2 linked regions of the Arabidopsis thaliana genome follow. The protein of the gene in region 1 interacts with the protein of each later gene in a biochemical or structural test. Each region holds a gene or a part of one and is shown on either strand. Other genes may lie near its edges. The genes, in order: WOX1 and SAMDC.

Evidence for each region.
Region 2: the proteins of WOX1 (region 1) and SAMDC form a complex in vitro, tested with the Arabidopsis thaliana proteins (one study listed by BioGRID).

What each region holds. Positions count from the first base shown.
Region 1 is NC_003074.8:6,157,536-6,174,550, reverse strand, and holds WOX1 (WUSCHEL related homeobox 1), read left to right. Parts: upstream 1-11,097; 5' UTR 11,098-11,367; coding exon 11,368-11,503; intron 11,504-11,606; coding exon 11,607-11,969; intron 11,970-12,098; coding exon 12,099-12,160; intron 12,161-12,904; coding exon 12,905-13,396; 3' UTR 13,397-13,818; downstream 13,819-17,015. Other genes in the region: MPK9 (MAP kinase 9), read right to left, coding at 1-78; HON4 (winged-helix DNA-binding transcription factor family protein), read left to right, coding at 2,993-3,202, 3,289-4,170, 4,714-4,779, 4,883-5,167; HAL3A (HAL3-like protein A), read left to right, coding at 5,922-6,257, 6,375-6,668; AT3G18020 (Pentatricopeptide repeat (PPR) superfamily protein), read right to left, coding at 7,036-9,102. UniProt on the Arabidopsis thaliana protein: Transcription factor which may be involved in developmental processes.
Region 2 is NC_003074.8:501,961-518,975, forward strand, and holds SAMDC (S-adenosylmethionine decarboxylase), read left to right. Parts: upstream 1-6,925; 5' UTR 6,926-7,042; intron 7,043-7,135; exon of another isoform or gene 7,136-7,190; 5' UTR 7,191-7,241; exon of another isoform or gene 7,242-7,344; 5' UTR 7,345-7,439; intron 7,440-7,836; 5' UTR 7,837-7,992; intron 7,993-8,087; 5' UTR 8,088-8,262; coding exon 8,263-9,363; 3' UTR 9,364-9,502; downstream 9,503-17,015. Other genes in the region: TBL20 (TRICHOME BIREFRINGENCE-LIKE 20), read right to left, coding at 1-293; AT3G02450 (cell division protein ftsH), read right to left, coding at 916-1,115, 1,257-1,557, 1,625-1,948, 2,027-3,070; AT3G02460 (Ypt/Rab-GAP domain of gyp1p superfamily protein), read left to right, coding at 4,150-4,301, 4,383-4,578, 4,657-4,827, 4,911-5,027, 5,310-5,507, 5,597-5,656, 5,730-5,828, 6,064-6,132; AT3G02480 (Late embryogenesis abundant protein (LEA) family protein), read left to right, coding at 10,424-10,480, 10,663-10,731, 10,817-10,897; AT3G02490 (Pentatricopeptide repeat (PPR) superfamily protein), read left to right, coding at 11,647-13,644; RTFL19 (ROTUNDIFOLIA like 19), read right to left, coding at 14,087-14,224. UniProt on the Arabidopsis thaliana protein: Essential for biosynthesis of the polyamines spermidine and spermine. Essential for polyamine homeostasis, and normal plant embryogenesis, growth and development.

The sequences.
Region 1 (17,015 bases):
ACTGTTGGTCAGAGGATGATTAGAAGCATTCCGAGAATGAGGATGATTATTAACGTTGGTGCTGTGACTAGCACCCATCAAACACCTCCACCACCACTTTTAAACTAATTTTAATTTAATTATCATCGATTGACAATAACAATTATTATTAGTAAATAATAATGATTTTCACGTCGTCGACGCACGAATCTCTCAGGTATGGCGTGCTTCTCTCTTTCTAATTCGACTCTCCATTACTATTATTTTTTGTTGGCTGGTTTGGTTCTCTTGTCCGAAGGATGCGGAAGATAGAAGAAGAAGAAGAAGAAGAAGATGAAAGGTGGGTTTGGCACGTGCGACTCACGTGAAGCGTGTGTTTCTCTTTTTCTTAAAGGGCATGTTTGACTATTTACATTGCTTTTTTTTTAATTAACTTCATTCACATGGCTTTATAACACCTAAAAACACCGCAGATGAATTTAACTTGCGTCCGTGACATAACCAGATTAGGAAAAATTAGGCTAACAAAATTAACAAATCGTATAACTATTTTTTGATAAGGACAGTATATAATATTGAAATTCAAAAAGCGTGTTTGAGAAAAAGAAAATAAAAATGGTGGTGGTGGGTAGGGCCAATAGCCTAATAATAAAAGAAGGTTATGTTTGAGATAATTGTAAGATGCCAGCAAATGTCTGCTCTGTAACTCTTCTAATGCACGTCTCCGGTCGTGTGTGACTCGAGAGGACCCAACCAAATATGCAAAAACATTTAAATAAAAAACATAAACAAATCATTTCAAATTCGAGAGAAAAATAAAAGGGTCTTAAAACTGTTAATTATGCAACAGATAGGCCCATGTAATGTTGAGGTCCATCACATAAGTAAACATTATATTGAAGGCTGATAATTCGGCCCGTTAAAAGTGTTGTTTATAAGAGGTTGTGTGTACTGTGTAGTGTGACATATCAGAGGCGACAAAACATATCATAATCTTTTGTTTTGTTGGAATTCTGGTGTGGTGATCGTCTTTTGTCATCTGCTTACTTGGTGTCTGGTGATTGTGTCTTCTGATCGTCTATTACCAGCCGCACTTTGTTTGACCCTTGCTTGAAAGTATTCGAGCACACGCATGCACACATCACAACACAGATATATTAGTATTAAAAGAATGAGCATACATAAATTGTTGTATGAAAACGACACGACTCAGGTGATACTTGGAGTTTGAATGATGAGCATATATCGGGTTTTACTTGCGCTTAATGCATAAGCATAAACGTACTGTACTCTTTATAATATCGTATTGTAATGTCAGTAATATGTACCAACAATTCTCTTGTTGGATGATTCTTTTTGGGTACCGTGATGTATGGGCTGGCTTTACCAAGGAGATAGGTGTGACACTTGTTCCCCCATAGATTTATCAATTGTTCTTAGTCCCATTGATTTTATTTGAGATTTGCTACTTCAAAATTCAAATGGTGAAATCTATCCAACTACCCTTTTGAATCCACACATATAATACACAAAAGTTCATTAAACAATATTAAAATGTCAAATGAAAAAAAAAGTTCTTCTAAAAAAAAAAAAAAAACATTAACTATATGTAAAACCACTAAATATCTTTAAAATTATCGCTCACTTTGTATCCTTTACATTACCCGTTAAAAATGCTTGTTTGTTATAAATTTTGCATTAAACAATTATAAATTCTAGTTTTTCATATTTTAAATTTTCTTAAATTCATCGTTCACTATTTATCATTTTTATTATAATGTTTAAATAAATAACGCTTCTTTGTACAAAACAAATTAAAATTTGCAATCAATACTTACTAATTGCATGTTTTTCCATATTTTGAAAATTTTAAAACTTATCTTTCATCATTTAATATTTCAATTATTCTTTTAAATATATCACGCTTATTTGTGATACAAGACAAAAGAAAAATGTATTTAGCACTTGGTAAATATATTTTTCCATATTTTATTTTTTTCATAAAGTTATCTTTCATCATCTATAATAAGAGGTTTACATTTATTTGTTATTTTTGTTTTACGTCGTACATTTATATATATATATATAGATATATATATATATATATATCAAATATTTTGTTAAAATGCAACTAAAGTTAAAATTTAATTCAAATGTAAATATCATACATTACTGTTTAAAAATATTTTAATGTCTTGTAATTTTTCCTTAATGAAAAACATATTTGATGTATCATTTTGTGATTAAGTTAAAGGGTCGCAAATAGATATATACTCTAACAAAATTCACAGAAAATATAAATTTGAAACTAAATTTTATGTAAATGTATCGATTTCAAATCCTAAACAGAGGACATAGAAGTTAGTAATTGCATTTGTTTTGCCATACTCATCTCAATACATCTCTTACTTATCATACACTCTTTAATGGAGTTTGTTACATGGGTTACTTAATGTAACAGTGTTTGCTATATACTTCATTCGATGTTATTCTAAAATCAACAAAATTGTTTTACACTGAAAGCGAGGAGTTCTTTTCAGAAAAATAATTTAAAATTTTGGCGGTCCATTTTTAAAATTTTGGTGATTTTTTATTACATTGGAGCGAAAATGTAGCAAAATTCTAAGAGGCAAAAATGAAAAAAATCAAAGTAAAGAAACACAAAATCCTTAAAATAAAAGACAAAATGATATGACACGTCATCGATCCTCGTCAAAACCGTCGATAGAAAACAAATCAACGGTTAGATTTAATAGTAATCTTTCTTCTCATCCTTTCGTCTCTACTCCTCCGCCTCTCTCTCCCCAACCTAACTTTATTTATTTCTCTCACAAAAATTTTATTTTCACAAAAACAAAAAAATCAAAAGAGCTCTCAGAGCAAAAAACAAAAAAAAAGAAAAAAAAACCCTAAATCTAAATCTCACCTTCCACCTCTGTCTTTTTTTTTTTTGTTCTTTTTTTTTTTTTTACTGTATCTTCTCTTCTCTTTGCTCTGCAAAAATCTCACATCCATGGATCCATCTCTTGGTGATCCTCATCATCCTCCTCAGTTCACCCCTTTTCCTCATTTTCCCACCTCCAATCATCATCCTTTAGGACCAAATCCGTACAATAACCATGTCGTCTTCCAACCGCAGCCGCAAACGCAAACGCAAATCCCGCAACCGCAGATGTTTCAGTTATCTCCACATGTTTCAATGCCCCACCCTCCTTACTCCGAAGTAAGTTCAATCTTAAAAGCCTCTTCCTTTATAACTAAATTCAGTTACTTTTTTTTTTGTTACTAATTTTTTTTTTCTGTGTGTAGATGATTTGCGCTGCGATTGCGGCGTTAAACGAACCGGATGGTTCGAGCAAGATGGCAATTTCGAGATACATCGAGAGATGTTACACCGGTTTAACTTCTGCTCATGCTGCTTTGTTGACTCACCATCTCAAGACTTTGAAGACCAGTGGTGTTCTTTCTATGGTTAAGAAATCTTACAAAATTGCTGGTTCTTCTACTCCTCCTGCTAGTGTAGCTGTTGCTGCTGCTGCCGCCGCTCAAGGTCTCGATGTTCCCAGATCTGAGATTCTCCATTCAAGTAACAACGATCCCATGGCTTCTGGCTCTGCTTCTCAGCCTCTGAAACGAGGTCGTGGTCGTCCTCCTAAGCCTAAACCTGAATCTCAACCACAACCACTACAGCAACTTCCACCGACCAATCAAGTCCAGGCTAACGGACAGCCAATCTGGGAACAGCAGCAAGTTCAATCACCTGTTCCGGTTCCGACTCCGGTTACAGAGTCGGCGAAGAGAGGACCTGGTCGTCCAAGGAAGAACGGTTCTGCTGCTCCTGCTACTGCACCAATCGTTCAAGCTTCGGTTATGGCTGGAATTATGAAACGTAGAGGTAGACCACCGGGTCGTCGAGCTGCTGGGAGACAGAGGAAGCCCAAATCCGTTTCTTCTACTGCCTCTGTGTATCCTTATGTTGCTAATGGTGCTAGACGCAGAGGAAGGCCTAGGAGAGTTGTTGACCCTAGCAGTATTGTTAGTGTTGCTCCAGTAGGTGGTGAAAATGTGGCAGCGGTTGCGCCAGGGATGAAGCGTGGACGTGGACGACCACCTAAGATTGGTGGTGTTATCAGTAGGCTTATTATGAAGCCTAAGAGAGGACGAGGACGTCCTGTAGGTAGACCCAGAAAGGTAAATTTTCACATCCCCCAATTCTGTATTCGTGATCTCGATTTTGCAATATCTGACGTTTACTGTGCATGATTGTTCACTGCTCCGCCGTCAATTTAGATTGATAAAGTTTGATACTTGTGTTGCAATCATTGTGGAATTCAAACTCAATGTCACTTTCCGCTTTTGAGCATTGTTGTCTGTTTTCGCGTATCCAAAATCTGACTAGTATCTAGTGTTTTTATTATATTTTCGTGTCCCTTACTTTTGGCTTATCCTTATCTGGTTTCTCTGTTTTATTTTAATTTTCGTTTGGATAATTAAGACCAAAATAGTCGGTAATGTATCGCTATAGCTAGGAATAATTTTATCATCAATTAGTGTGTTAATCCGGCTTAATGGTTTCTAAGTCATCACATAGTGTCTTCTTCTCTGTATCTTCTATTTTACTAGTAACGTGTTCAATTGGATCTAAAGTAAGACTTCTTAATTTAACCATTAATGTCTTTCTTGAATATGTTATACTTTTATCCAACAATTTTATTTTTTGGTTCATGAACCTAGATTGGAACATCAGTCACGACTGGGACACAAGATTCTGGAGAACTCAAGAAGAAGTTTGATATTTTTGTAAGTCTACTTGTTGACAATAAACAGTTTGGCTGTCCTTTATTTGATTAAAGTATTCGATTCTACTTGCTTATGTTTGGTTTTTGTATGTAAATGATTTCAGCAAGAGAAAGTGAAAGAAATTGTGAAGGTGTTGAAGGATGGAGTTACAAGTGAGAATCAAGCAGTGGTGCAAGCCATAAAAGATCTGGAAGCACTAACAGTGACGGAGACCGTTGAGCCACAAGTTATGGAAGAAGTGCAGCCAGAGGAGACTGCAGCACCACAGACTGAAGCTCAACAAACTGAAGCTGCTGAGACACAAGGAGGACAAGAAGAAGGACAAGAAAGAGAAGGAGAAACACAGACCCAGACAGAAGCAGAGGCAATGCAAGAAGCTCTGTTCTGAAGAATAATAATGATCTAGAAAACAACCTAGACATAATAGCCTTGGTGTTTGGCGTTAGGAGTGTTTTTTTTTAGTTGTTTTAGGTGTTGGAATCGCATCTTAAATTATATAAAAATCTATAAGGAATTTTAATTTTTCTAGGTTTTGTTGTCTGCAGAAGAAGAAATAGTAGACTCGTTAATGGTGTTGTTGTCGGTGTGTCTTTAACCAAACCATAAGACGTGGCTGTAAATTAGCGATGTTTCTAGTCTTCCATCTTTAATAATCTCTTATTGCGTCTGTGCCTTTGTTTTTTTCAATCTGTCTTCTGCTCTCTGCTTCCGCTTTGCACATTGTGGAGATGTTTTCGTGTCTATTTTCCACCCAACGGTTTTAGCAGGTCGACTCTTACTTAATTTCTTACTAATAATATCTTCATTTCCATCTCACGTTGGCTCAAAAAGCTATATAACTTTGACTCGAAAACATGTTAGAGTTAACACAACAGTCGAACTCAGAATCGAAATTGCAGTCCAAACGAAGTAAATATAAAATGAAATATATCGATATTCACAGCCCATACGACCGAGGCCTAAAAAAGAGTGAGTCAATGGCCCATTTGACCAGCAACTAAAATGATTGTCCTCTCGGGCCTCTCTCTTTCTCTTCCCTCTAAAACATTTTGATATTCTCTTCGACCAGATCAATTTTTCGGTTAGGGTTCTTCGCCGAACCATTGGCTACTTTGCTAGATCTCTGAAGGTGTAAAAGAGCTATGGAGAATGGGAAAAGAGACAGACAAGACATGGAAGTGAATACCACACCGAGGAAGCCTCGTGTACTACTCGCTGCAAGTGGAAGCGTCGCTGCTATCAAATTCGGCAATCTCTGCCATTGCTTCACCGAATGGGCAGAAGTCAGAGCCGTCGTTACGAAATCATCTCTACATTTCCTCGATAAACTCTCTCTCCCACAAGAAGTGACTCTGTATACTGATGAAGATGAATGGTCTAGCTGGAACAAGATCGGTGATCCTGTCCTTCACATCGAGCTTAGACGTTGGGCTGATGTTTTAGTCATTGCTCCTTTGTCTGCTAACACCTTAGGCAAGGTAATTTAACAAATCGACGAAAACCCTAAACCAACTACTTAGATTCAATTGTGTGACTTGTGAAAACATTCATGGAGGATTCAATTCATACAATATATTTTTGTTGTACCTTTGTAGATTGCTGGTGGGCTTTGTGATAATCTTCTGACTTGCATTATACGAGCTTGGGACTATACCAAACCACTGTTTGTTGCTCCAGCTATGAATACTTTGATGTGGAACAATCCTTTCACTGAAAGGCATCTTTTGTCTCTTGATGAACTGGGAATCACACTTATTCCTCCTATCAAGAAGAGACTTGCCTGTGGAGACTACGGTAATGGAGCTATGGCTGAGCCCTCTCTTATCTATTCCACTGTCAGACTCTTCTGGGAGTCTCAGGCTCATCAGCAAACCGGTGGAACTAGTTAAAACCATGATTTCCACAACATGCATTTTGTGGAAAATCATCTGTTTTCACTATCTTAGATAATAGTAGATTTTATCAGTCTGTTTGCTTTTCTTGTACATCTCAAAATAGCTGTCTGGATTGATGTATCTGGAGGACCATTTGCACTACTAGCTCCACTCTGTTTCTGTAGAAATGTCTATGTTTCTTTTCCTCGCTCTTAAATGTTGTCTTCAATTCTGCTAATAGCTCACTGAACTTTTGAATTTGCCAGCAAAAATTTCACAGAGAAACAAACAAGCCCACTTTTTTACGTTTACCAGTGATCGTGATATCAAAATGCAAGATCCTTGAGCCCCAAAACATGAATTTTATTGCTTTTGAAACAGTCTATCCTGAGGTTGCAGGGTTTGAAATTAACTCTCTTTCCACAGTTAGATCCATAGAATCATGTAGTTTATCGAGTATCCGCCATGTAACAGCATCAGGAGCCTGACCGTTCTTCCTCATCTCCTCCAAAATCTGGTACGCTTCTCTCTTTAACCCACTTCTGCTACACTCAGCAATCACAGTATTATAGCACACAACATTAGGGATTGCTCCAGAATCTGCCAGGTCATATAGGAAATGGCAAGCATCACTTAGATAACCAGACTGACAAAGCCCTTTCAGAAATGCTGCATACACAAACGCATCATGTCTGCCTGATGGCCATATCACATCATCCCAGAACTTCTTCGCCATATCCACCTTATTAGTCACACACAACCCGTCAATGATTATTGCATATGTAGTGCTATCCGCAGTCACACTCGCCTTTTCCAGCTGACCAAACACAGACATAGCTTCATCTCCCTTGTGGAGCTTGAACAACCCACGTATAACAGCATTGTATGCAACAACACCTGGCTTAATCTTGTTCTCCGGCATAACGCGATTCAACACATCCAGAGCTTCTTCTGCTCTTCCTTGAGCGAGCAAGCCACACATAACAGTATTTAAAGTCACAGCATCTGGTGCACAGAACTTCCCTGTCATCATATCATCAAGAACTTTCATGGCATCGTCCACCCTGCCCATCTTGCATAATCCATTAATAACTGTGTTAAGTGTATACTCATCAGGCCTGCAGTCTCCCTGAAGCATACTGACCAGTACGTTCAGGATCTCAGTCGGGTTATCCATCACGCAGAGACCGCGTAGATAAATATTATAGATTCGAGTTCTATCTGCTCCTTCTTTTCTCAACATCAGCTCTAGAACATTCCTGGCTTTACCCGTGTCCAGTTCCTTGCATAGACTCTCCATTAGGAGCTTATAAGTATACTCAGACGGAAAAAACTCAAATTCAGATCCCTCTTCTAGCAACTGATAAGCCCTCATACACCCACCATCCTTGCACAAGCCATGAATTATAGCATTGTATGACGTTCTTCTCGGTTTTAACCCTTTACTCTTCATTATATAAACAATCCTCGCTGCTCCATGGTTTCTCCTGTATCGACACAAGGAATCTATCATATGCCCGTAAGCAAATTCAACGTTCACAGACTCGCATAGTGACATGTTCTCTGCAATCTCAAAAATATCATTGAAATACCCTTCCCTGCACATAGAATCAACGAGATTCGCAAAAGCTGCTGCTTTCATTGATGTATCAGTCTCATTCTTCATGTATTCCCATAGTTCCTTCATCAGCTTCCGTCCTGTTTCAACATCTCTCATTTTCAAAAACCCACCAATAAGAACACTCAATGTGAGAGAATTAGGCCTTATGCCACACACACGCATTTCGTCGAACACTTTATGAGCAACTTCCAGTTCTCGAATCTCACAGTAACCACCGATTAAAGTTGTGAAAGTCACAACATCTGGGAGATGCCCTCTGTTTCTCATATCGAATACTAGCTTATGCGCATCGATTACTCTATAGATCGTACACAACTGATTCATCAAACGGTTGTAATTCGTCAACGATGGCACAAACTCCTTCTTGAAACCGATCAAACGGTGTATAACTCCCAACGTACTCACCGGAGATCTCGAATATAACAATCTTGCGATGATAACGTTGCAGGTTCGCTCGTCTGGGATAAAACCTGAAGCGAGGAAGAGTAAAAACCGACGGTGAGCTTCGTCAAATCGTCCGGCGTCACAAAGAGAGTGGATCACACTGCTGAGGTTAAGCGAATCAGGACGATACCCACGGAGGCAGAGTCCGTCTAGAATCCGAAGAGCTTCGTCAGGATTCCTCCGTACGGCGCAGATACTGTGTATCCGTCTTCTCCAGTAAGCTCTATCGGTTACACTGCGTCGACGATCTTCTGCTTCTATTGCATCATCTTCTCCTTCGACATCATCAGATTTCAATACGGAGGCAGATGAGAAAGAGAGGGATTTAGAGAAGAAGAAGCCATTTTCTCTGGCTCGTAGTCGCAGACGAGTGACGAAGAACATAACTTTCGTAGCAATCTCTGTTTCTCTCTTTCAAAACCGGTTTTTATACGACAAGACATTTATAGCTTGTTTGGGCCTAATCCGATTTCATTGGGCCAAAGTCTGATTTATATAAGCCCAGAGTTCTTTTTAATCAATTTTTTATATTTATTTTGTATATTAGTTAAGTTCACTCAATGTGATTATTTTTCCACCAAAATCTTTCATTTATTCTTATGAATTTACCTAATAAATAGAATATAAAAGTGTGAAAAGAAAAAAAATCATGCTTGAAAATATCTCTGTTAAAAAGAAACGTAATGATTCAGAGTGCGTGCGAAATCACGTATGATAACAAGCTTGCAACTCAGAAAAAGTACTTGACGTTTGAAGAAAGCCATAATTTTGATCATATGAAATTATGAATGATTATCGTAATTTCTTTAAAACAAAAAATAGAAAGATTGATTAAGTGATACACAATTCAGTTGTAAGCCAATCATATTTCAAAAACTATGAGATTTTATCATTTTTCAGAAAGAAAGAAAAAACATAAGATTTCATCGATTTTTCTAAAAAAAATCATATTTATTAAGTTTGAAAGATATATCACAAAATAAAAATTGAGATAATCACTTTGTTCATGTATGTCATTATATAATACCTACACCTTGAATCCATCGCTACATCTCAAACAAATGAGGGAAATATATAGTTTGATCACATAAACATGAGAACAAATAAAAAGCAAATTAGATCATTTTTTGGTACATCTTTTTCAAACTCAGGGATTAATATATTTACAATTTTTTCCAAAAAAGGGAGAAAAAACAAAAGGATTAGATTAGGGCTTGGGAAAAGACAGAAAAGGGGGATTTAAGATCCCAAAGAGAAGAAAGAAGGAAAAGGGTTTTATCTATGGAAAAGCAATTGTTTGAGAGAGACAAAAGGAGAAGAGGTTAAGAGTGTAAAGGAGACAAAGCCTATGGGGCAGTTGAGAACAAGAATAATAGTGAAAGCCACAACACACACATACATACACATATTTATTTAGGGATCTCATATTCGTCGTAAAAAGACATATTAATCTAATACTATAGGATATATAAAAAATGAATGAAAGAAACCAAAAGAAAAAAAGAATGAAAGAAAAGGAGTGATGGGGAGAGATGGGAGGAATGTCACGTCGTTATAAGCTCCTTCGCATCTCCCCATATCATTCATATCATATCCCCCCAGAATTCCACGCCCCTCCGATCCTCTCTCTCCTCTTTTACTAGTCAACCTCATCTTCCTAGCTTCAATTCTTTTATTTATCATTCCAAAATTATGTAGCTTAGTGAAATTCCATATATAGCTGATCACTGCATTTATTGAATTCGCTTAACAAATTTAAAGTGATTTGTCAATTATCATCACTGTACTTTATTACGTGTTCAGGGTAGGTGTATAGTTTTATCACCGTGCTTTAGCTAGGGTATAAAATTTTGTGACATATATTTGGTTGGGACGAAAGTTAATTTTTTAAAAATCTATTTATATGTCAGTTTCTATGTATAGTGGTTAAAAGTACTTACATCATCCGCAGAGTAATCACGTTTTGATTAGCATTCTAGTGGTACACATTGTACATGAAAGCTTTTATCATGCAATCTAAGCTTAATGTCTATGAATCTACATGTTTTTTTTAGTTAAATGAATCTACATGTTACATTAATCGTATTGTGCAAACAAACATTCCATAGCTTCCTACAAATGTATGATATGATAAAATTTCATCATGGGAAAGTACTATATATATAGGTCGTTTACTAATCAAGGATTATATAATGTTATGTTTCTTTTCTATACAAACATATTTATGATTTTGCAGGACGGTTGAGAATTTTTAAAGTGAATGGAATAAAAGGAAATAAAATAAAATAAACTTTTCTATTCATATGTAGAATGTTAATATTCTGTATTTAGAAATAAATAAAAGGATGTGTTAAATTGTCTACATATACACACACACACATATGTGCTTACAAAACCACCCCATTTGCATGCTCCCATTCTCACATTCACATACAAAGATATCTCTCAACTTTATCACTCTTCTCCAAACCCATAAGCCAAAATAGCCAAAACTACTTTCTACCATTTGTCTATTACTCCTTCAACCATATCATTCACATCTCCTCAGTTTCGATAAAACAAACAAAGCCCTAATATTTTTACTTGCTATATCGCTGTCTCTCTCCCTTCTCCTCTATAAACATACATATAAATTAAGTACACACCAAAATGTGGACGATGGGTTACAACGAAGGAGGCGCAGATTCCTTCAACGGAGGAAGAAAGCTTCGTCCTCTCATCCCACGTCTCACTTCTTGCCCCACCGCCGCCGTAAACACCAACTCCGACCACCGCTTTAATATGGGTATCTCTTTCTCTCTCTCTCGTCAATTTTTGGTGAAACTTTCCAGTCTCTCTTTCCCTTGTTTCTAATGCTCATTTTCTTGCTTTGGTTACGATTTTCACAGCAGTGGTGACGATGACGGCGGAGCAGAACAAGAGGGAGCTGATGATGCTAAACTCAGAACCTCAACATCCACCGGTAATGGTGAGCTCACGGTGGAATCCGACACCAGATCAGTTAAGGGTTCTTGAAGAGCTTTACCGACAAGGAACTAGAACTCCTTCTGCCGACCACATCCAACAAATCACCGCACAGCTACGACGGTACGGGAAGATAGAAGGCAAAAACGTTTTCTATTGGTTCCAAAACCACAAAGCCCGAGAACGCCAGAAACGACGGCGACAAATGGAAACTGGCCACGAAGAAACGGTCCTTTCAACAGCAAGTCTTGTCTCAAACCACGGATTCGACAAGAAAGATCCTCCAGGTAAGGGACCATAACAGAACTTGGGGATTAACATTCAAACAATAAAAGTCTTTTTGGATTAGAATGTCTTTTTGGGTTGATTTCATTTCAAAATTGACGGTTTGAAAATTCATGTCTGGAATTTTGCAGGTTACAAGGTTGAACAGGTCAAGAACTGGATATGTTCGGTCGGATGCGACACGCAACCAGAGGTATATATCTCTATTTATACATATATTTGTTTCTAAATTGATATTATTTTATGATATGTATTATGTATATATGTTGCTCATATTCTGTGTTTATAATGGTCTTGGGGTTTCTATTACATGAAAGGGAGTGTAATTAAGGATTGAGGGTTTACATATATAATTAGCATATGATTACAAATAGAATCTGCTAGCTAAGAATAAGTGAATTCCTTTTTGGAAGTTTGGGTAAGTTATTGAAAGAAAAAAACAAAAGGCAGAGAGATGAGGCGGTGGAAAAGACCAAGAAGTTAATTTATGGGGAACTTCAAAATAAGTATTTTTGTAGCATATGCAAAAATACGTATATTCTTAGCATATAATTATGGTTTTATTTTGTTTGAATATTAGTAGTATCTTTTTAAAAAGATTATTGAATTCATCCAAAAAGCTGCAGAGACTTTCCTTTCTGTCGGCACAGCTGCTACGTACGATCGATCCTTTAGCTCTGTGTCTTCTTGTTTTTGCTGAATTTCCATAAATTAATGTGCTTTTTCACTCCAAACACATGCTTGAAAAGACCCTTTTGACCCTGGTCTTTAACGGTCTCATTCTTCTTCACCCCTGTCCCTATCTGGAATTTTGTTTTAAGCATAAAGTTTGTCGCTTTGCCAAATTTTGACTTATTTGTTACCAATTTTTACATTTTCCGATGCTAATTTGACTAATTTCAACACATCTTGAATGTTCTTTCTTTTGCATAATTAGAAACCTTCCCGTGATTATCATCTGGAGGAGCCAGCGAATATACGGGTGGAGCACAATGCTCGTTGTGGAGGAGACGAGAGACGAAGCTTTTTAGGGATAAACACCACGTGGCAGATGATGCAGTTGCCACCTAGTTTCTACTCTTCTTCACATCATCATCATCAACGTAACCTCATTCTCAATTCACCTACTGTTTCCTCCAACATGTCCAACAGCAACAATGCTGTCTCTGCTTCTAAAGATACGGTCACGGTTTCACCTGTATTTCTACGTACGAGAGAAGCAACGAACACAGAGACTTGTCATCGAAATGGTGATGATAATAAAGATCAAGAACAACATGAAGATTGCTCCAACGGTGAATTGGATCATCAAGAACAGACACTTGAGCTGTTTCCACTGAGAAAAGAAGGGTTTTGTAGCGATGGTGAGAAAGACAAGAACATTAGTGGCATTCACTGTTTCTATGAGTTTCTGCCATTGAAGAACTAAACCTAATTGAAGTCTTTCAAGAAAAACAGCTTTTTGTTATTAGATGATTAGTTTAATTATTCAACCGAGTTAGGGAGAGTGAAAAAGGATAATTAGGGTTTTGTCTAGGAGTAAGGGCAGGCGTGTCTTTATGGTGTTGATGTTAACATTTCATAAGGGTTTGCCTTAAAATGCACTTTGGACCACTTTCTTTAATTGTTAAAAATGAACCAAACAAATTTAAAAAGGAAAAGAATAGAAAGACATGTGATTTTCCCAATAGTTTTTTCATTTGTGTGGATGTGGTGACTTAGGGTTTAGATCATGAAACTTGCTTGATTTGGTTGGTGAATGAAGCTATTTGGTGCTTTGGTGATGGGATAATCTGTTACGAGAATGGGAACTCGTTATTACTCTACATCTTTCCTTTAATTTCATGCGTTATTTCTAAAGAATATCTACACACACATGCATGATCTATATATATATATATGTGTGTGTGTGTATGTATGTGGGGATCTGTTTCTATGAGTTATAAATGCGCGAGAGACAAAAAGAATTGGGTTGATGTTGAAATGACTAAGAGAGTGGGAAAATATTATTGGTTTGGCACTTGTTTTGTTTTTCTCTTCACTAGCATACGAACAATATGCCTTTACATTTGCTATTATATATACAGTATATTCCTCAAAATTGAATGACTATTCGGGTCATGGTTCTACTTCTACCTATAGTAAGAGATAATTTTATATTTTTTAAGAATGAGAGTTTAAAACATATTATTCAATTAATATTTATTTAAACAAAAATTTCCCATAAAACACTAGCTAAATTTTCATTCATCTATGTCTTACGTACGAATTTTAACATTTTGACAAATTTTAAACTAAATTGAAAGCTTCGATAAGCTTGGTTTTTGATGAAAGCATGAAAGGAATTAGATCACAAGATGTATGATTAACGAATGAGGAAGAAAGCCTAGCCACCATAAATTTCAAATGGGGAAAATGACAAGATATATATGAGGGTGGGAAGGTGAGAAAAGGAAAGAAGAGTGACTTTTAGAGTAGAGAAGAGACAAGACAAAAGAAAAGAAAAATAACTGAATAGCTTATTCATAGAAGAAGCCCCGACACTTTCCTTTCTTTTCCCAAAGATTCATTCATTCTTTTATGTCTCTTTGTACGATTCAGTGAGACCCTTTTCTTTATTAATAGTTTTAGGAGAAAGATCGTGGGTAATTTTATTTGTTTGTACTGCTTATTTTGATACATTATCATTCCCTATCTATTCCTCTCTTTGTATTTGCTTTATTTCTTTTTCATGATGATTGTGTGTTTGTGATTCTTGCGAGCATGGAAGTAAGCAAAAACATCACTTTAATAAATTTTATACGAAAAAAGTAAAAAGCAAGAAGAGAAAATATTAATGGGTAAGCGTACAGTCAACAGATTACCACACGAACGATCCTATGAACTATAAACAATAGATATTGTTGTTAGGAAATAAAGAAACATGAATCTTCTCGTGAATTGTAACGAAGATTAATTGTAAAGTCTAATCGTACGGTAATAATCTTTTGGTTATTTATTTCCCTGGATCATGATTTTTTTTATGTCTGCTCCGGCCTTTGATTCATCGTAGTATATCATCAGTGACGTGTGATACTACTATGTAATAATACTATATGTACTATAAGATTTAGTCACTACAAATAAGAATTCATATATCACGTGACGATTAGTGAAATTGTGATATACTGATATATGTATCATGTTTGGCAAACGTGGAATCTTAATCACAATAAAACATATAGTAGAGGATGATTTGAATAATCCTGCATGAATATGATCGGTAATTTCAAGATGATTAATTCACATGATCATATTATATATATATATATATATATATATGATGTATTTTGTCCATTTTCATGATCCATCCATGTAAAGTTCTTTTGTTTGTCTTGTTAAAAAACAAAACCATTTATAGTTTTATATTCGTGTTTGATGTTTTGATTAAGGGCTTTATATATAAGAGTATATAGATACGTGCGTGGCAGTAATCATGCACATGATGGTTTTCTCCGTGGGTAATTCGTATTTGTCCCTAGCTACAGAAACCTCTAGCTGTATAGCTAAAGTCTAATACAAGAAACTCACAGAAAAATCCATCAATAAATCTCATTCAAACTTATGAGTTAAATATAAGTACATGGTATATATATTGTTAACTAAAATAGACCCAATTTTTATACTATTATATTTAGATTTAGTCATGTAGCACATAATATATCATTAGTATAAAAAATGTAACTAAAATTTACATTAAAAAAAGGAAAGATCGTGGAATAGTGCTAATAAATTGATAATTTGAACACTGTTAATAACCCCAGCGGTGGAACAGACAAATTAAACAACGAAGAGAGAGAGAAGAGAATGTGACAAGACTGGAGGAGGGGTGTGTCTGTGAGGGACAAAATGGTGACAGTCATGAGGTGGACCATTGGTTGGCTGTGACTCACCCGCTTCTCTCTGCAATTTCCTTATTTTGGTTTTAAATGCTTTCATGTGATTCATTCTCTTCTACCATCTCTCTCTCTCTCTCTCTCTCTCTTTGCGAAAGAACCAAGTAATCAAATATATGATTAAAGCCTATTTTCAAGCTTTCTATATTGTATAATTGTCAGTGATCTCTCTTATCATGAGGTCATCATAATCAAACATTACAATATATATGTCACATGTGTACGTATATATATACATGTCGACAAAATAATATACAACACATACACATTAACACTACGTACTACTATATTTACAGTATTCTGACAATGTAAGACTGCATCAAATTCTCTCTGTGTATATATATATTATTTTAATTAGCTAGCTACTGAGGGACGTAGCTATTATGGTCTATAGATTTGTGGTTTCTTTCTAAAATCTACGAAAATGTAACAATATGTCGTTTTTTTTGTTAAGCGTTGGGAGATTTCAAATGGTAAGAAAAAGGGTGGATAGATATTGCAAATAAATTGACTGAGAGAGATTGGAATTGACACTGTTGAATACAGAAATAGAACAGTAGGTGGTGTGTTAGGAGAGGGTACGTAGGGTTGGGTCAAAACCTAAATAGGAGGAGTCTGACGAATCTAGTCTTTTGAAGGTGTGTGATTTCAAGGCTTTTCTTTCTTTACCTCCATCCACACACTATGTTGCACAGTCCTATGCCCTATTCGGTACCCTATGGAATGTTTTTTTTTTTATAAAGAAAATTGAATTATTTTTTGACTACTCCAGGTCTCTCCTACAATGAAACATTTCTCATTTATGCAGTATATTGATAGGTGTGAAAAAAAATCCGCAATATAAGTCAAGAAATATGCAGTATTAACAGATAAGGGCAGGCTTTGGGGCCTAGAAGCCCAAAACAGGGGTCTCATTTTAGATAGAGAGAGAATTTGGTAAACCGCTGAATCAAACACAATCCCAAATCAAGGATATATATGCCTGGTTTGGTTTAAGTTGAACTATATCCAAAAATGGTAGCCAAATTTCCATTTGACAAATCCGGTTCTACCAAACACACTGTAACTGAAGTCTAACTGCAAAAATAAACCAAGTAGCATAACACAAATGCA
Region 2 (17,015 bases), 5.7 Mb from region 1:
GGATCATGATATGTGTCGTCGTAATCATTATCATACGACGATGGTTCTGAATCTTCTGTCTTATAACTATCTGATGATGATGATGAATGGTTATACCTAGATGGAGAAGATATTGCCGACGACGATGATGAATTCGATAAATGTTTGTATGTTGATGTTGAATAATAGAGAGGATAACCAAAAAAGAGATAAAGGATTGGAGCTATCGTAAGTAGAATAAGAGGAAATATCACTAGTCCTATTCGTAACTTTGTCGCAGGAAGTTCCATCTCCTTCTTCCGAGAAAGTATCATTTAAAAACAGAAAAAGAATAGTTTTGGGATTTCTGTTTTATGTTCAATGGATGAGAGAGATGTTTGGAAGAATTTCGATTATTGGATTAGCATCAAACAAGGTTACCAATTGATTGGGACATTGCTAAAAAAAAAAAACGAATGAGTCGTTTGATATATATATATATATATATATATATAGTGAAGTAGAATGTTATAAAATATTAGATAGGTTAACTATCATATCTTTCTGATTGATATACACGATTTTAAGGCAGATAAGGATATTGTGTAGTAGTTTGTAGTTAGGATTATACTGTAGATCATATATTTTAGAAATTTTGTTTAGCATTTATTCGAGATTTTAGATATTATATTTCAAAGTGTATGCCTTTAATTAGATACCAAATATGTCGAATGGCTTAGGATTACTTCTCTTTAAGTATAAGAAGATCGTTTTAAAAGAGCAATTTAGGTTAATAATATATCTAAGAGATTTGTCAAATTGGAAGGTACTACGAACCAAAAAGCAATTGACTTTGCAATGTAAACACACAAAAAAACGTACATTTCCAAAAATTTCAGATACAAAGAAACTTGGTATCAATGGATTTGCTCTCTAACCGGTCTGTCTTGGTTTGGTTTAGCTGAGAGTTTGATAACCTAACGGTCCTTGTAAACCGTCTTGATCTGGTCCGTTTCTTCTAGCCAAAGATGGCATCCATGGGAACATCTTGCTGAGTTCATTTCCTAACGTCCTTGGCCTCGCTTCCTTATCATTGATCCCGAACTTCGCTCTCTCTATAGCTTCCATTATATCTTCCCGTGCCACCGCTTCTCCGCCTGAAAACAATCAAGAAATCGCTAGTGTCTGTTAAGCCAAAAACCGCAGCTTCATCCCAAAAGATCAAACCTGGGAAGCAACCAGATCGAATAACTACTTAAATCAAGAAAGGGCTGTTAAAAGATCACTTAAAGACTGACCTCTACGAGCAGCAAGCAATGCAGCTTCATTGACAATATTGGCGAGATCAGCACCTACAAATCCGGGAGTTAAAGAAGCAACCAGATCACATATGAGAAATGCATCTTCTTCTAAAGGAACGTCTCTCAGATGTATGGCCAAGATTTTCCGACGGCCTTCTTGGTCTGGTTCTGCAACCAAAACTTTTCTAGAGAACCTTCCAGGCCGACAAAGAGCCGAGTCTAACGCTTCTGGTCGGTTAGTTGCTGCAATTACAATGACTTTCGTGTCTGACTCGAATCCATCCATCTCAGTAAGCAACTACAAAGGAAGTATATCAGCAATGGAGTCTACATGGTTAAAAGGGTACTAAATGTTGATTCTTTACCTGGTTTAACGTCTGGTCACGTTCATCGTTGAAACTCCTACCGCGTTTTCCTCCAACCGCATCAAGCTCATCAATGAATATAATGGAAGGTGAGTTTTTCCTTGCTGCATTGAAAAGATCTCTGATTCGCGCTGCGCCTCTTCCAACAAACAATTCAACAAACTCACTAGCGGAGACAGAGAAAAATGGAACTCCCGCTTCTCCAGCTACAGCCCGAGCCAACAAGGTTTTACCGGTCCCTGGTGGACCGACCAAAAGCACACCTCTCGGTAATCTTGCTCCTAGTTTTTTGTAGTTTATACTTCCTTGAAGACATGAGACTATCTACAAAGAAAAACAGAACACATGGAGGTTGGACTTCAAACTTAATTCTATAAACGTTGCATTTACGTATCTTTTTACCTCCACGAGCTCGTCTTTAGCAGAATCAACACCCTCAACATCATCGAAGCCAACAGTGGGATTTTTAGACCGTCGTTTCTTCGCAGGGCTGTTAGATGCTGAGAGTTGCCGATAAAGAAGCCACATAAGAGGTGTCAAAGGAATCCACAGAGAGATGATTGTTATCAAAGTAGTTCTCATTGACATCAATGCGGATTGAGGAGCTGAACTATAAGTAATGCCTTTCTCTCTCATTAAACTAAGAAGAAACTTCTCATCATGATCGACTTTTCTTGTCACATACTTCCACACAGGAGGCAAAGCTCGAACCTTTCGCGGAGTATCGTCTTTCGTAACAGCTTCTGTCACTGTGCCGCCATCAATTTGGATTGCCGGATCTTCTAAAGTTTCAGACTTGTGAACATCATCAACAACCTCAACATTCTCATCAGTGTTGTAATAGATTCGACGTGAGCCTTCTTCGAGCAAAACCTTTGAAACAGAACCACCTCGAAGATTCGTAACGAAATCTGAGTAAGGAACAATGGATGGGGACGGAACAGCAGTTAACCTCAAGAACAAATAACACAGTCCAAAGATTAAAGCCACACCGGTGGACAAGATCACTCTTTTGAGATTCTTTTTCAAAAAATATCGAAAATCTTCCATTGATGCTCTGAAATCAAATCTGCCAAGTCTCATTCTCACTAATCGTAATCTAGGTCGAAGCCTAAGAGAAAACCTTCTTCTCTTCCCTTTGTTTCTACCATTTTCACCAATACGAGTCTCCTTATCTCCGTAATCACCAGTCACAAGTCGCTTAATCTCGCTATTACAAGAAAATCTATTACGAGAATCGCCATGAACTCTAATAACCCCTAATCTGGTTTCACCAATTTCCATAAACCCACCAAGTCTCCTGCAACTAAACGATTGAGTCCTGATTCTAGAGACACAAACATTAAGCTCACTACTCCTCGAAGACACCTTTCTATTAAATTTCTCCGGAGAATAACCTCCATTGAATCTAAATCGATTGCTACAAAGAACATTGAAAGTAGCCATGGATTCTCTATCCTGGAATCCGAATCATGCGTTGATCATTCTTGTGCAAAAATCCTAAGAAAACCGACCAAGCGCAAGAGTAGACGAACGTGTCATACAAGTGAAGAAGATTGGAATTAGAAAGGCTTTCGTCTTCAAGCTGATGACTCTGTTAAATTGAAAGGATAAGAAGAGTTCGCAAAAGCTCTTTTTTGGTTGACAGATAAAAAACAAAACACAGAACAGGAAAAACTGTATGAATAAGCATTGGGCATTATAAATCGAGTCATGGCCTCATGGGCCTTTTAGCTATTGGGCTATCTTTCATTTTGGGCTTATTTTAAAAAATAGGTTACTGATTTTTTTGAATTGGTATAATTAATTTGACGCCTATATATATATATATACCCAATTAAATTGTTTTGTTCCTAAAACTTTATGAATCATAAATTCATAATCGTCGTGATAAAGCCTCTAATTACCCAAAATCGTGCTCAATTTAGAAAATAGAATCTTTTAGTTGTCACCAAACTTAGCAAGTTGGCATAACCACCATTTAATCATAATAATACTCTCTCGACGGCGTCGTTTCGTGCTGGCTTCACTTGAATTATTATTTTTCTGGCTGGACTCATATTTTCTCCGGCAAGGAAAAAAGAAAAACATCACTTTCTTCAAGCGGATGAAAAATTCAAAGATTGAGTCACCACCACCATAGTAATATACGCGTATGAGTTCCCAGATGTGATCTCCATCCAACGTTGTATTTCTTTCGTTTTGGTTATCTTCTTCGGTTCCATCGAATTCCAACAATTCCCATCGAGGAATTTGGTTACGAATCTTTTGATCTGACTAAACCTAGGTGAGTTTTAATTTCTCCTGGATTTTTTACGATCACGTTTCTGCTGATTATGATTACTGGTTACAGTTTTTGGACGATCGACGTTACTAGATTTAGGATTTTACTTTGAGAACCTGTTTATACTTTGATGGTATAAATTTCACTATTGGGATATATTGGTCTATGATTGTGTCATTAGGGAGCTTGATCACAAGGAGACTGAAACCAATGCTAGGAGGAGTCTCTTCAGGTTAGTAGAATGAGTAGAAAAAGAACGGAAAATGGCAGTGAATCAGGACCAGCCACTTCTCATGTTCCTGTGGATAGATTCGGGTTTCTCAAGCAAGAACATGCCAATTCGCCTGAGCGTTTTAGCAAGTCTAAAACTACATCATCCACTGATCATGACAGGTATGTCCTGAGGGAGCGAATAATTTTAAAAGAATATGATTGAGAGAGTGAGAGTGTGTTTTTGTTGTTGGCTATCTATAGAGAGGAGAGAAAGGTGAGAAAATGGAGGAAGATGATTGGGGTTGGAGGGAGTGATTGGAAGCATTATGTTAGGAGAAAACCTAATGTTGTCAGAAGGCGTATACGAAAAGGGATCCCTGATTGCTTACGAGGTCTTGTTTGGCAGTTAATCTCAGGAAGTCGAGACCTTTTGCTTATGAATCCTGGTGTTTATGAGGTAATCTTCGCCGTTTATATCCTTACATTGTTTCTTCTCTGAGTCATATTCTGATCATCTATCGATTTTCCTATGAAGCAATTGGTGATTTATGAAACATCTGCATCAGAGCTTGATATCATTCGAGACATATCCCGTACTTTCCCATCACATGTTTTCTTTCAGAAGAGACATGGACCTGGGCAAAGATCCTTGTACAATGTCCTTAAGGCATACTCAGTTTATGACAGAGATGTCGGATATGTTCAGGTCTATCCTCTAGATATTTCCCTTGTTTCCCATTTTTCTTTCTTTTAGTATGGGACTAAGATTCATGATTCTAATATCTGCAGGGGATGGGGTTTATAGCCGGTTTGTTGCTTCTCTATATGAGCGAAGAAGATGCCTTCTGGTTATTAGTTGCATTACTTAAAGGAGCTGTTCATGCTCCAATGGAAGGACTGTATCATGTGAGTCTTTTAATTATTAGAAGATTGCAAGAAAATGTTGTATAGTTGAATGAAACAAAAAGAGTATTTTCTGCGTGAGTTAGAGTTTGTGACCACGTTTTAAAAAAGTTCTCTGTAGATTAAGTTTATAACGATTCTGGTGAGAGTTTTTCGTCATTGATTATGAATCAACTATCCAATTTAAAAGGCTACTGTATAGTTCGTTCCTTGATTTAACAAGGTAATGTCTTTGCCGCACATTTCATCTATTTCTTAAGAGTCAGTGGTTTGTGTGTAATGTAGGCAGGGCTTCCCCTTGTACAGCAATACCTGTTTCAGTTAGAAAGCTTGGTAAAAGAGCTAATTCCGAAGCTCGGAGAACATTTTACTCAAGAAATGATTAATCCGAGTATGTATGCAAGTCAATGGTTCATCACCGTCTTCTCATACTCATTTCCTTTCCCTTTGGCTCTACGGATATGGGATGTGTTTCTCTCCGAGGTAACTAAATGCGCATCCTTAAAATCTCTTTAACGTTTGTTGTGATCAAAGTTTCATTCTGTTATCTTCTATGGTCATTGTTTCTTAAGGGTGTTAAAATCGTGTTCAAAGTGGGCTTAGCATTGCTCAAGTATTGCCAAGATGAGTTGGTGAGTGAGGTTTATTTACGAGCTGTAAGTTAATTTCGCAAAACCAACCTTTTTAAAAAAATTAACTCTGCAGGTAAAGTTACCGTTTGAGAAACTAATACATGCTCTGAAAACTTTCCCGGAAGACGCAATGAATCCGGATACCTTGCTTCCATTGGCTTACTCTATCAAGGTTCTCTTTCGTTTTCGAAAAGTTAATGTTCTGGTAAAATTTCCATGATAACTCGGGAGAGATATGAAAGAATCAGATTCTCGATATCGACATGATTAACTTGATAGATAATTTAATCTTACTTGTAGTGATTAATTGAGGGCATTGATGTTGTTAAATCTGATGGTATACTTGAAAAACGCTCTCAGCTTTCTTGAATAATCAACAACTGTGTTTTTTTGTTTGTTCATGGCAGGTATCAAAGCGTTTGGAAGAACTGACACTGGAGTATCAGAAGACTAATGCCAAACCGGTTCAACCGTAGGAAATCCGGTTGGCAATAACCTGAACCAGAAGTTGGATTCGAATTCGTTTTCTCATCTTATCTTTTCTTGTTGGAATATATTCTTTTTTCATCATATTGTCAAGTTGGGTGGGAATTTCTTATCAGAAGCTCTCTGATTGTTTTTAGCAATTTCGTGGAAAAGAAGAAGGCATGCTCCAGCTGATGTATAGATAGAGAGAGAGACCAGTGTTCCTAGAGAGATATCACTAATGTGAAAAGTAAATCATATTGTTTAAAGGTATTTTTATTCTTTAAGGTTCATGGTACCAAACTAGTCCAAAATCTCAGAATTTTAAATACGACTTATGGTTGAACAAAAAAGATTTGGAATAAATAATTACACACTGGTCAATAGTGATTGGTTATAATTTTGATACATTTTATTTGTTGATTTTTGACAAATGGTGGACATGAGTCATGAGTGAGTCACGGGGAGGCCCAATTTTGTCATGTAGTGGAGCAGTTGAGAGCCTTTGAGAAATAGAATTTGATTCTTTTAGGCCCCACGGCTACGCTACCGTGACAGCTCGCCTCGAGTTATCCGCTTCAACGGCACACGTATCTTCTAAACACGTGTCAATCTTTGATTGGTTAATATAGCGTGTTGGCCCATCTCTGTTTTATATTTTGTTGTTCCGCAAAAGATAATGTCAAAAAATAATAAAGAAACAAATCTCTAAAATTAAAATAATTTCTACTTGCGGCGAAAGGAAAAAGCAAATTTGTTAAAATAGTTGGGGCTATTTATCTGCGGTCAGGAATGGAGATGCTCGCACCTACCGATTCCAACGTAAGTAAATGGTTGAAGGGTAATTTGGGTAAAAACCTCGGAACGGCAAATTGGAAATAATCAACGGCTCAGATAGCTTCACGCGATATAAACGCTAAGGTATAAGGTCAAATACGTAATTGTCAGGGAGCATAACCCTAGTACTTATATAAAGGCACTCTTTCTACCTTTCTTTTCCTCCTCACGAACGCATCTCATTGCTTCATCATTACCAAATCATCAACTTAATCGTTTCTCTCAAATTTAGGGTTTTCTCTTTTCTCGAAAGTCTTGCGGTTTTCTGAATCATCTCTATCTGGTGAGTCTCTTTTTTGAATTGTAGATCTGCGTTTTCTCTCTGTAGATCTGTTCCGTCGTTGAGGATAATGTTTTTTAATCGGTGAATTCTGGGTTTTTTTCAGGTTTGAGGGTTTCGTTTGATATCTGGAGAAAGGGGTTTCTGGAAACAAGGAGTTCATAATTCGCGATCTTGATCTATCGATCTTCATTTATATATGTAAGTATCTCTCACGATTGACGTCGTTCTTCGATTGATTCATTAGCCTAGCTAGGTTAGATAGACATCGTTCTTATCGTCCTAGGTTTTGGTATAAGAGATTGATATTCGCATGCATGGTTAGGTTGACTTATACCTGAAACCAACGACTTGGTTTCGATTTTTGTTTTGTTACATGTATGATTGCCTATTGTCTTAGGCTTTGTTTTTAGTTATGGATCTGCTATAATAATTGGTTTCTACTCATCATTCGAGATATACAATTGAAAATTGAATGGTTCTTATGGTTTATAGATTCGTATTGTCCTGATAAACATTGTTGTGTGATCTTTTGAATACCTGGTATTTTTATTTTTCATCTGATCTTTTTCCTTTGGATTTGTTTTGTCTAATACAGAAAAGCGTGAATGAGATTATGATGGAGTCGAAAGGTGGTAAAAAGAAGTCCAGCAGTAGTAGTTCCTTATTTTACGAAGCTCCCCTCGGTTACAGCATTGAAGACGTTCGTCCAAACGGTGGAATCAAGAAATTCAAATCTTCTGTCTACTCAAACGTGAGTTTCCTCTATAATGCTATATCTGATTTCTTCAATCTCTATGGTATCCATTATGTAGTCTCTTCTTAACTATGTTTTGCTTTTTGTTGCAGTGCTCCAAGAGGCCATCCTGAGTACCAGCGTGCACCGATCTTCATAATATAGTTATAGCTTTCTTTACTTTCCAGTTTATAATTTTCTTCTTTCAAAGCTCCTTTTCTGCTGGTTCCCGGATCCAATCGTTCTCTCCTCCTACTACAAGTCCTGTCGCTCACACAACAAGGCGAGATGGCCTTATCTGCAATCGGTTTCGAAGGTTACGAGAAACGGCTCGAGGTGACTTTCTTTGAGCCAAGCATCTTTCAAGACTCCAAGGGACTGGGACTCCGTGCTCTGACCAAGTCCCAGCTTGATGAAATTCTTACACCTGCTGCATGCACGATCGTTTCATCTCTCTCCAACGATCAATTGGACTCTTACGTACTCTCTGAGTCCAGCTTCTTTGTCTACCCCTACAAAGTCATCATCAAGACTTGCGGTACCACTAAGCTCCTCCTCTCTATCCCACCACTTCTAAAGCTGGCTGGTGAGCTCTCTCTGAGTGTCAAGTCTGTGAAGTACACTCGCGGCTCCTTCCTCTGCCCCGGAGGCCAGCCTTTTCCTCACCGCAGCTTCTCTGAAGAAGTCTCTGTTCTTGATGGGCACTTTACTCAGCTGGGCTTGAACAGCGTAGCCTACTTGATGGGCAATGATGATGAGACTAAGAAATGGCATGTCTATGCTGCCTCTGCCCAGGACTCCAGCAACTGCAACAACAATGTCTACACTCTCGAGATGTGCATGACTGGTCTGGACAGAGAGAAAGCTGCTGTCTTCTACAAGGATGAAGCTGACAAGACTGGGTCAATGACTGATAACTCTGGAATCAGAAAGATCCTTCCCAAGTCTGAGATCTGCGACTTTGAATTCGAGCCCTGCGGCTACTCTATGAACTCAATTGAAGGGGATGCAATCTCCACGATCCATGTGACCCCTGAAGATGGGTTTAGCTACGCTAGCTTCGAAGCTGTGGGTTACGACTTCAACACCCTTGACCTTAGCCAGCTGGTGACAAGGGTTCTCTCTTGCTTCGAGCCCAAGCAATTCTCTGTAGCTGTGCACTCGAGCGTTGGAGCGAACTCATACAAGCCAGAGATTACTGTAGACTTGGAAGACTATGGGTGCAGAGAGAGGACATTTGAGTCTCTAGGAGAAGAGAGTGGAACAGTGATGTATCAGACGTTTGAGAAGCTTGGTAAGTACTGTGGATCGCCTAGATCTACCTTGAAGTGTGAATGGAGCAGCAACAATAGCTGCAGCAGCGAGGACGAGAAGGACGAGGGAATCTAGCAGAATTTTTCTTCCTAATAACTATTTTCGAGCTTTCTGTTTTTGTTCTTTCTTTTTAAAAAACTTATTAAGTTCTTATGAATAATGACTTGTGAAGTTTGAGTTCGTCTCCTTCACAAGCAAGTTGTATTGGTGTTTTCTACTTTATGAATATGGGTTTTATATACCTAAAGACTTGTTATGTTATTATTCTTAAATGTTGCTGCTATGATGATTACTATTATCGATTTTTACTATTATATTTGTTTTTTTTAACGATTCGTTGAAAAATAAACGAGATTGACACTAATGTAGCAAAATGTGCAATATTATCTTCAAAACATTACAAAATTCAGTTGTCTTAATCTTTTTATTTCCGATGACAAATTATGGTTACGTAAATAGTACTATATTAAAAAAAAAAGAAAAAAAAAGACGAAAATAAAACAAAAAGGGAGAATTTGAGTATTAAACCAAAAAAAAAGGGAGAAGTGGACTTTTGATCAAAAGAAGAGAACAACTTGCATGAGTAAATTAGTTTTAGAGCTGACTATTTAAAATTTTAAGAACTAAAAAGAAAGTGGTAGTATAATTTAACAAAAGGATGATGACTCATATGAATAATAGTAGGCAAAAAAAACTTCAAAACCACAATTTCTTGTTTTCACTTAGAACCTTATTCTGCCATAATTACGTTTAGTTAAATTAAGAAAAAATTGCTTAAAACGACAGTACAAGAAGAAGGAAACATTTTCTTTCACTCAAAATCCTATTATCGCGCAACAGAGGAGTCTAAGTGAAATAATACCGTGTCGTTTGCGGATCAGAAATCGAGAGAACCACGTATGTGTCTTTTATGTCCTGGTCAAACGGTTATCCAACACGTGGATCCCAAAACTAGCCACCGACTGCAGCAAGTTTCTCGAACCGATGCACGTGTCCTCGACACGTGGAGACTCCCAAGCACGTCTCTGGGTTATAAATAGCAACCCAATGCTCCAATCATTTTCCATCATCAAACACAAAACAATCAATCAAAAACATAAAATTCAAAGTGTAAGCAAAACCAGAACGAGAGAAAATGGACAACAAGCAAAACGCGAGCTACCAAGCCGGTCAAGCCACTGGCCAGACTAAGGTCTCTCTCTCTCTCTTTCTTTTGTTACACATTTCGTATCAATTTGTTGAAATATATGTAAAAGATCTCTACATTTCTAAATTCATATAGTTTTCCCGCAAATACTTACGGATTACGATAGGGTGTTCTTTTTAGACAAGGTTGATCTAATAATGTATAATGTTAAACTTATGTGAATATAGGAGAAGGCCGGTGGAATGATGGACAAGGCCAAGGATGCTGCTGCTTCAGCTCAAGACTCCTTGCAACAGGTTCAGTTTTGATTCTTTCATTTCATTTTGCTCCCTTGTAGTAAAACCATAATATTGAACTTTTAAATCAAATTGTGAATTGTAGACTGGACAACAAATGAAGGAGAAGGCGCAAGGAGCTGCTGATGTCGTCAAGGACAAGACCGGCATGAACAAAAGCCACTAAGCAAGCACCTTGGACTTCTTTTCTAATTAATTCCCCTCTTCGACTTGTGTTTAATAAATTTGGGGTTTTAATTCTCATTCCTGCTACTTTCTGATGTTGTTTCCTTGCGTCCATTTGGATCTTTATGTAATCTTATCTATCTAGTTAATAAAAGTATGCTTTTTAATATCATGAATGTGGAAGAAAAAAGGGAGTGGGTTTCAGTGTTCAAGTATAAAGTAACAACTAACAACTTCAAAGAATATTAGATCAATGAAAGTAAGTATCAAACAATGTATATATCTTATAGTGTTAGTTTGGAAATTTTATCCAAAATGAAGATAATTTGGAACGTTAGATGAAGTTTTGTTCCTCAAATAACTTTGGAACCTTCAGTTTTTTATATATCATTGGAAATTTAGTGAGAAAACATGATTGGATCAATTCTCTTACTAAAACATTTCAAGAGTATAAGGAATTATTGATTGAGCACAAAAAGACATGGTCATATTTTCCTAATCGCTGTGGAGGATAAAATTATCTAAATAAAAAAATGTTGTGGCTAAAATGAAAATTACAAAAAGTTGGAGGATGACAGCTTAAAAATACTCGACCTTCCGTCTTGGTCAGAGGTTTAGTCTAAAGCCCTAAACATTTCCTCTCTCTCTTGCGCCATTGCTGCTCCATCGTTCCCATTCGTAAAAATCCAAACTTTTTGTTCAAAATCAAGCCAAACTCTAGTGTTGTTGTAGCTTAGATAGACATTAAGGATGAGGTATCAATGGCGATCGCTTCTTTTCCGGAGCTACCGTTCGTCTCCTCGTCCATTTCTTTCTCATCACTCGCGGTTCCAGGTAATCTCCAATTCGACTCGATCTTTCTCTTCTTTCCTCCACGAACGTTTTGGAGTGCAACAAAGACAGTGTCTTTTTGCCTTGCGATCGCCATTGGCGAGCTCTGTTAGCCGACGCTTTTCATCTGAGTCTGCGATAGAAGAGAAACTTCCTGCTGAGACTGTTGTGATTGATGTTTTTAGCAGATTGAATGGTAAGGATGAGATTACGAAAGAGCTGGATTCGAATGATGTTGTGATTAGCCATGAATTAGCATTGAGAGTTCTGAGGGAACTTGAATCAAGCCCTGATGTTGCGGGGAGGTTTTTCAAATGGGGTTTGGAGGCTTATCCTCAAAAACTTTCTTCCAAGAGTTATAACACGATGCTGCGTATTTTTGGTGTTAATGGATTAGTTGATGAGTTTTGGAGGTTGGTTGATGATATGAAGAAGAAAGGGCATGGTGTTTCAGCTAATGTTAGGGACAGAGTCGGTGACAAGTTTAAGAAAGATGGACTAGAAAATGATTTGGAGAGGCTGAAAGAGCTATTTGCTTCAGGTTCTATGGATAACTCTGTTGACAAGGTTTGCAATAGGGTGTGTAAGATTGTGATGAAGGAAGTGTGGGGTGCTGATGTAGAGAAACAGCTAAGGGATTTGAAGCTCGAGTTTAAAAGTGATGTGGTAAAGATGGTTTTGGAAAAACTTGACGTGGATCCGAGGAAAGCTTTGTTGTTCTTTAGGTGGATTGATGAGTCTGGAAGTTTTAAACATGATGAGAAGACGTATAATGCTATGGCCAGGGTTTTAGGGAAAGAGAAGTTTCTTGATAGGTTTCAGCACATGATAGAAGAAATTAGGAGTGCTGGTTACGAGATGGAAATGGAGACTTATGTTAGGGTTTCAGCAAGGTTCTGTCAGACTAAAATGATTAAAGAAGCTGTTGAGTTGTTTGAGTTTGCAATGGCAGGTAGCATTAGCAACACACCCACCCCACACTGCTGCAGTTTACTGCTCAAGAAAATTGTCACTGCAAAGAAATTGGACATGGACTTATTTACAAGAACTTTGAAAGCTTATACTGGGAATGGCAACGTTGTGCCGGATGTTATGCTGCAACATGTCCTCAAGTCTTTGAGAAGCGTTGATAGGTTTGGACAGAGCAACGAGGTGTTGAAAGCGATGAACGAAGGTGGATATGTTCCTAGCGGTGATTTGCAGAGTGTGATTGCATCAGGACTTAGTCGTAAGGGCAAGAAAGATGAAGCAAACGAACTTGTGAACTTTATGGAAGCTTCTGGAAACCATTTAGATGATAAAGCAATGGCATCTTTAGTTGAAGGGCACTGTGATGCTAAAGATCTCGAAGAAGCTTCAGAGTGTTTCAAGAAGATGATTGGGAAAGAGGGAGTCTCTTATGCAGGTTATGCATTTGAGAAGTTGGTACTTGCTTATTGCAACAGTTTTCAGGCAAGAGATGTATACAAGCTTTTCAGTGAGCTAGTGAAACAAAATCAGTTGAAACCTTGGCACAGTACATACAAAATTATGGTGAGGAATCTGTTGATGAAGAAGGTAGCAAGAGATGGTGGGTTTGAAGAAGCTTTGAGTCTTCTACCTATGATGAGAAATCACGGGTTCCCTCCTTTCGTGGACCCGTTCATGGATTACTTATCGAATAGTGGAACAAGCGCAGAGGCTTTCGCTTTTCTGAAGGCTGTGACTTCAAAGAAGTTTCCATCTAATTCAATGGTTCTGCGTGTATTCGAAGCTATGTTGAAGTCTGCAAGGCATAGTGAAGCTCAGGATTTACTGTCTATGTCCCCAAGTTATATCCGTCGCAATGCAGAAGTTCTAGAACTTTTCAATACCATGAAACCTGAAAAATGTTCTTTAGAGAAACCTTTGCCTGCTCCTGCTCAAATTGAAGCTTAATTCATTATATGTTGTTTTCTTTTGTTTCTGGACGTGGTGATTCAAAAAGGACAATCACTTACTCGACTCTAATCGCTATAATTTTCTTCATATAGCGGCGATGTGGGACTTTTGAAGATTGTTAGTAGCTTAAATGGGCTTATTTAGAAAAAGGCCTCTGCCTCTTTTCCATCGTAAGCCAGTTTACATTACTAATCTTTCCCCAACTTAAGATTTTATCATTTGGTCTTGTGGGCTTTTTAGCAAAAGGCCTATTTATCAATCTTGTTGTCTATGTTGTCTCTTAGCTTTGTTTTTTCTCTATTGACCTTTAATCCAAAGAGTTTACAGAATTCATTAGTACTCTAAAGATTTGGTATTTTGTTTCTTATAAAGTACACATTATGTATTTACATATCGGACAAAATAAACACATATACATATGTGTATCGTAATAAATAAATTAATCATGCGAACAAAGGAGCATCATCACACATCTTCTAATGATGTAGATCCTCCCCTTTTGTTCTTTCAGATATTTCCCGAGTCTTCTACTTTGGGATTTCTTCTCCTTTCTCTTCAAGCTCATGATGCTTTCCATATCCAGTTGTGTCCCTAAGAAACCAGTTGATATAACAATGATTGTATCGGAAATACTAAAAAGTTGGTGAGACTTTACACCACGACGAATCCCTCGAAAAAACTTGGTCTAGATTGTTTCCGAGCAGGAATCTTCTATGATATTAACTATTAATTAAGAGAGTGTGATATTGTGAAGAATAAGAGAACTTTGGAAGATAAGTGATTTAATGGAGAAGATACTTGTTCGAGTGAGTTTTTATAGGGAGAAGTTATTGTCTGCATTCTACAGTAACTTAATAAACAATTAATAATAGGTATACATTGGACCCTTAAATTTATCTCTAATCAACCATATAAATGATTATATTGTTCGAGGAAATTATTATCATTTGTATGTGGTTTAGTCACGTCACCAAACTCTATATAACAATGTGAAAATCCACCAACAAAGATACATTTGTCGGCCATTTGGTTGCATAACATATTCTTTTATCCACTATCCTAATAAGTGATAAAAGTAATCATTTTAATTAATAAAAATGGTATTATATATCGAACTAAAAGCAAGTCTTGTAAAGTTCTTCAAATTTAATTACGGCCTCTTAAGATTTGAGTAACTTTTTCGTTCGAAAAGACTAATATTTTGGGATTGATAGTATACTATATTTATTTTCTTTGTTGGTGAACACATTGACCAAATTAGTACAACTAGAGCCATTTTGCTTCAAATGAAATGAACATATCCCATAAAATGTGGATACATTGAGTCATTTTTACTCGCAAATAAAAACATGACCATTTTATAACATTTGATAGTTTATCTATGCTAAAATTAGCTGGCAAAACTTATATAAATAAATTAACTTGTTATATAACGTTCTGGTATATACAAAAAACTAAGTAACTTATAAAAGTAAACTTCTTAGAGTGCGGATGCATATAAAATTGAAAACCGAAGTTATCAGAGATCAATATATAGTTTCGTATGAATCTCATAGTCGCCAAAAGTGCATAAATGCGCAAGTGGATTTGATTTCCTCACCGTAAACACAAAATGCCAAAGATGATATGATATGTATATAGGACTTCATCGAAGCTAACATAACTGGAACAAGATTATATTTTTAATTACTTGAAATTTGCGATTATGAGCTTACATAAAAGTTAATATTATGGCCAAAACATAATCCCACATGTCTTTTCTCGTGTTCCATCACCAAATTAGCCGTAACTTGAACCTGGCCCTTGCTTCTTAAAAATTATTTTTGCCTAACTACTGTATTATATTAGCGCATCAATTCTTGGAAATTGTTTTTGTCTCCCCGAATATATTATATCCCGATTTTCCCTATGCCATGCTTCAAGAGTAGAACATTTTGAACTTATCATTGTTATATGCATGTCAATATTTTTTTGGTTATATGTTCAACTACACAAACACATACTACGTACTTGTACATTTTTATATTACCAAAAATAGATATATGATATGCGTATTAGCATAGAGGACACCACTCTTGAACTCTTGTTCCCTCACTTTCCATTTAGTTATTTATAAATTTAGAGGTAAGATAACAAACTAAAATTGAAAGGAAGAAAAATATATACAAAAAAAAGCAATCAGAAGAACCAATGTACAGTAGTATGCTGCACGTGAAATTCGCATGGGTATGGGTTACTGTTTGGCATAACCTAGACAACCTTCGTTCTCTTGTCCCCTAAGTACTGATACAGACTATACAGTAGTATTATTTCATTATTAGAAACCATTCATGATAAAAATTTACCATATGATATAGCTTAATTAACAATGAACTTAAACACAATTAAGAATCATTAACCCGTATCTTGGTCTTGGATGACTCAAAAGATAGTGTTCGTAATTAAAAACTGTTCCGGTGCAACGCATCGAGAACCAGTTTCGACTTCGTAATCTTGGTTTACTAATCATTTGAATTAAGGTTGATTGGTTTCTTGCTAATGAAGCATCCAATATCTTGGAGCTAGTAATCTAATCAAGATCCTTACACATACAAACATGAAACATTAATGTATTATATATGTTCACAATTGAAACTTTTGAAGCTGTGGATTTGGGGGAAAACTTATAACACTGGAGGTAATTGTGAACACTGAACAGTCTTTAGTTATGGGCCTATTCTTTTAGTCCATCAAGGGGGTTATGGGCTATGGATTGGGTCCTTGAAAGTCTAAGTGTAACCAACTGCTATTTAACCAACGCGCATCAGTTGCGCGTGTCGCTAAAATGTATGGACTAAAAGCGCTGTTTCTTACCAAAACACTTTTTCTTTAATTTCTCAGCGCGTGAAACAGGGATGAACAGTTTGGTTTTGTATTTTCTTGTACCTTTTTTTCTAATCTATTTTCGCATTATCAAAAAGGGTGAATTGCAAAACTAACCATTTTGGATAAAATAAAAAAAAAACAGAGAAGAGATAGCAACAGCCATTAAATGAACCAAAATCTCCATGTTACACCACTGTCACAAGTGATGCCTACATTTGCATGCACTCTTTGGGCCACTGTAATCATGAGTTCTCTAAATGCAGGTGAATCATTCTTGTGAAATCAAAATAAGCAATACAATCTGTCTTCCTTACCGTCAAATTTTATAAAATATTAATAAATATTATTTTGAAATTTTCACATATGAGAGCTTTTAATTTTCTGATCTGAAAATCCTTTTTTCAGTCAATTTAAAATACAGTGAGAAATAGCCAAACATGTTAAATCAATCATTCTTGTCAAGATAATCAATTTCATTATTATTAACTGTCACTATACAAAAT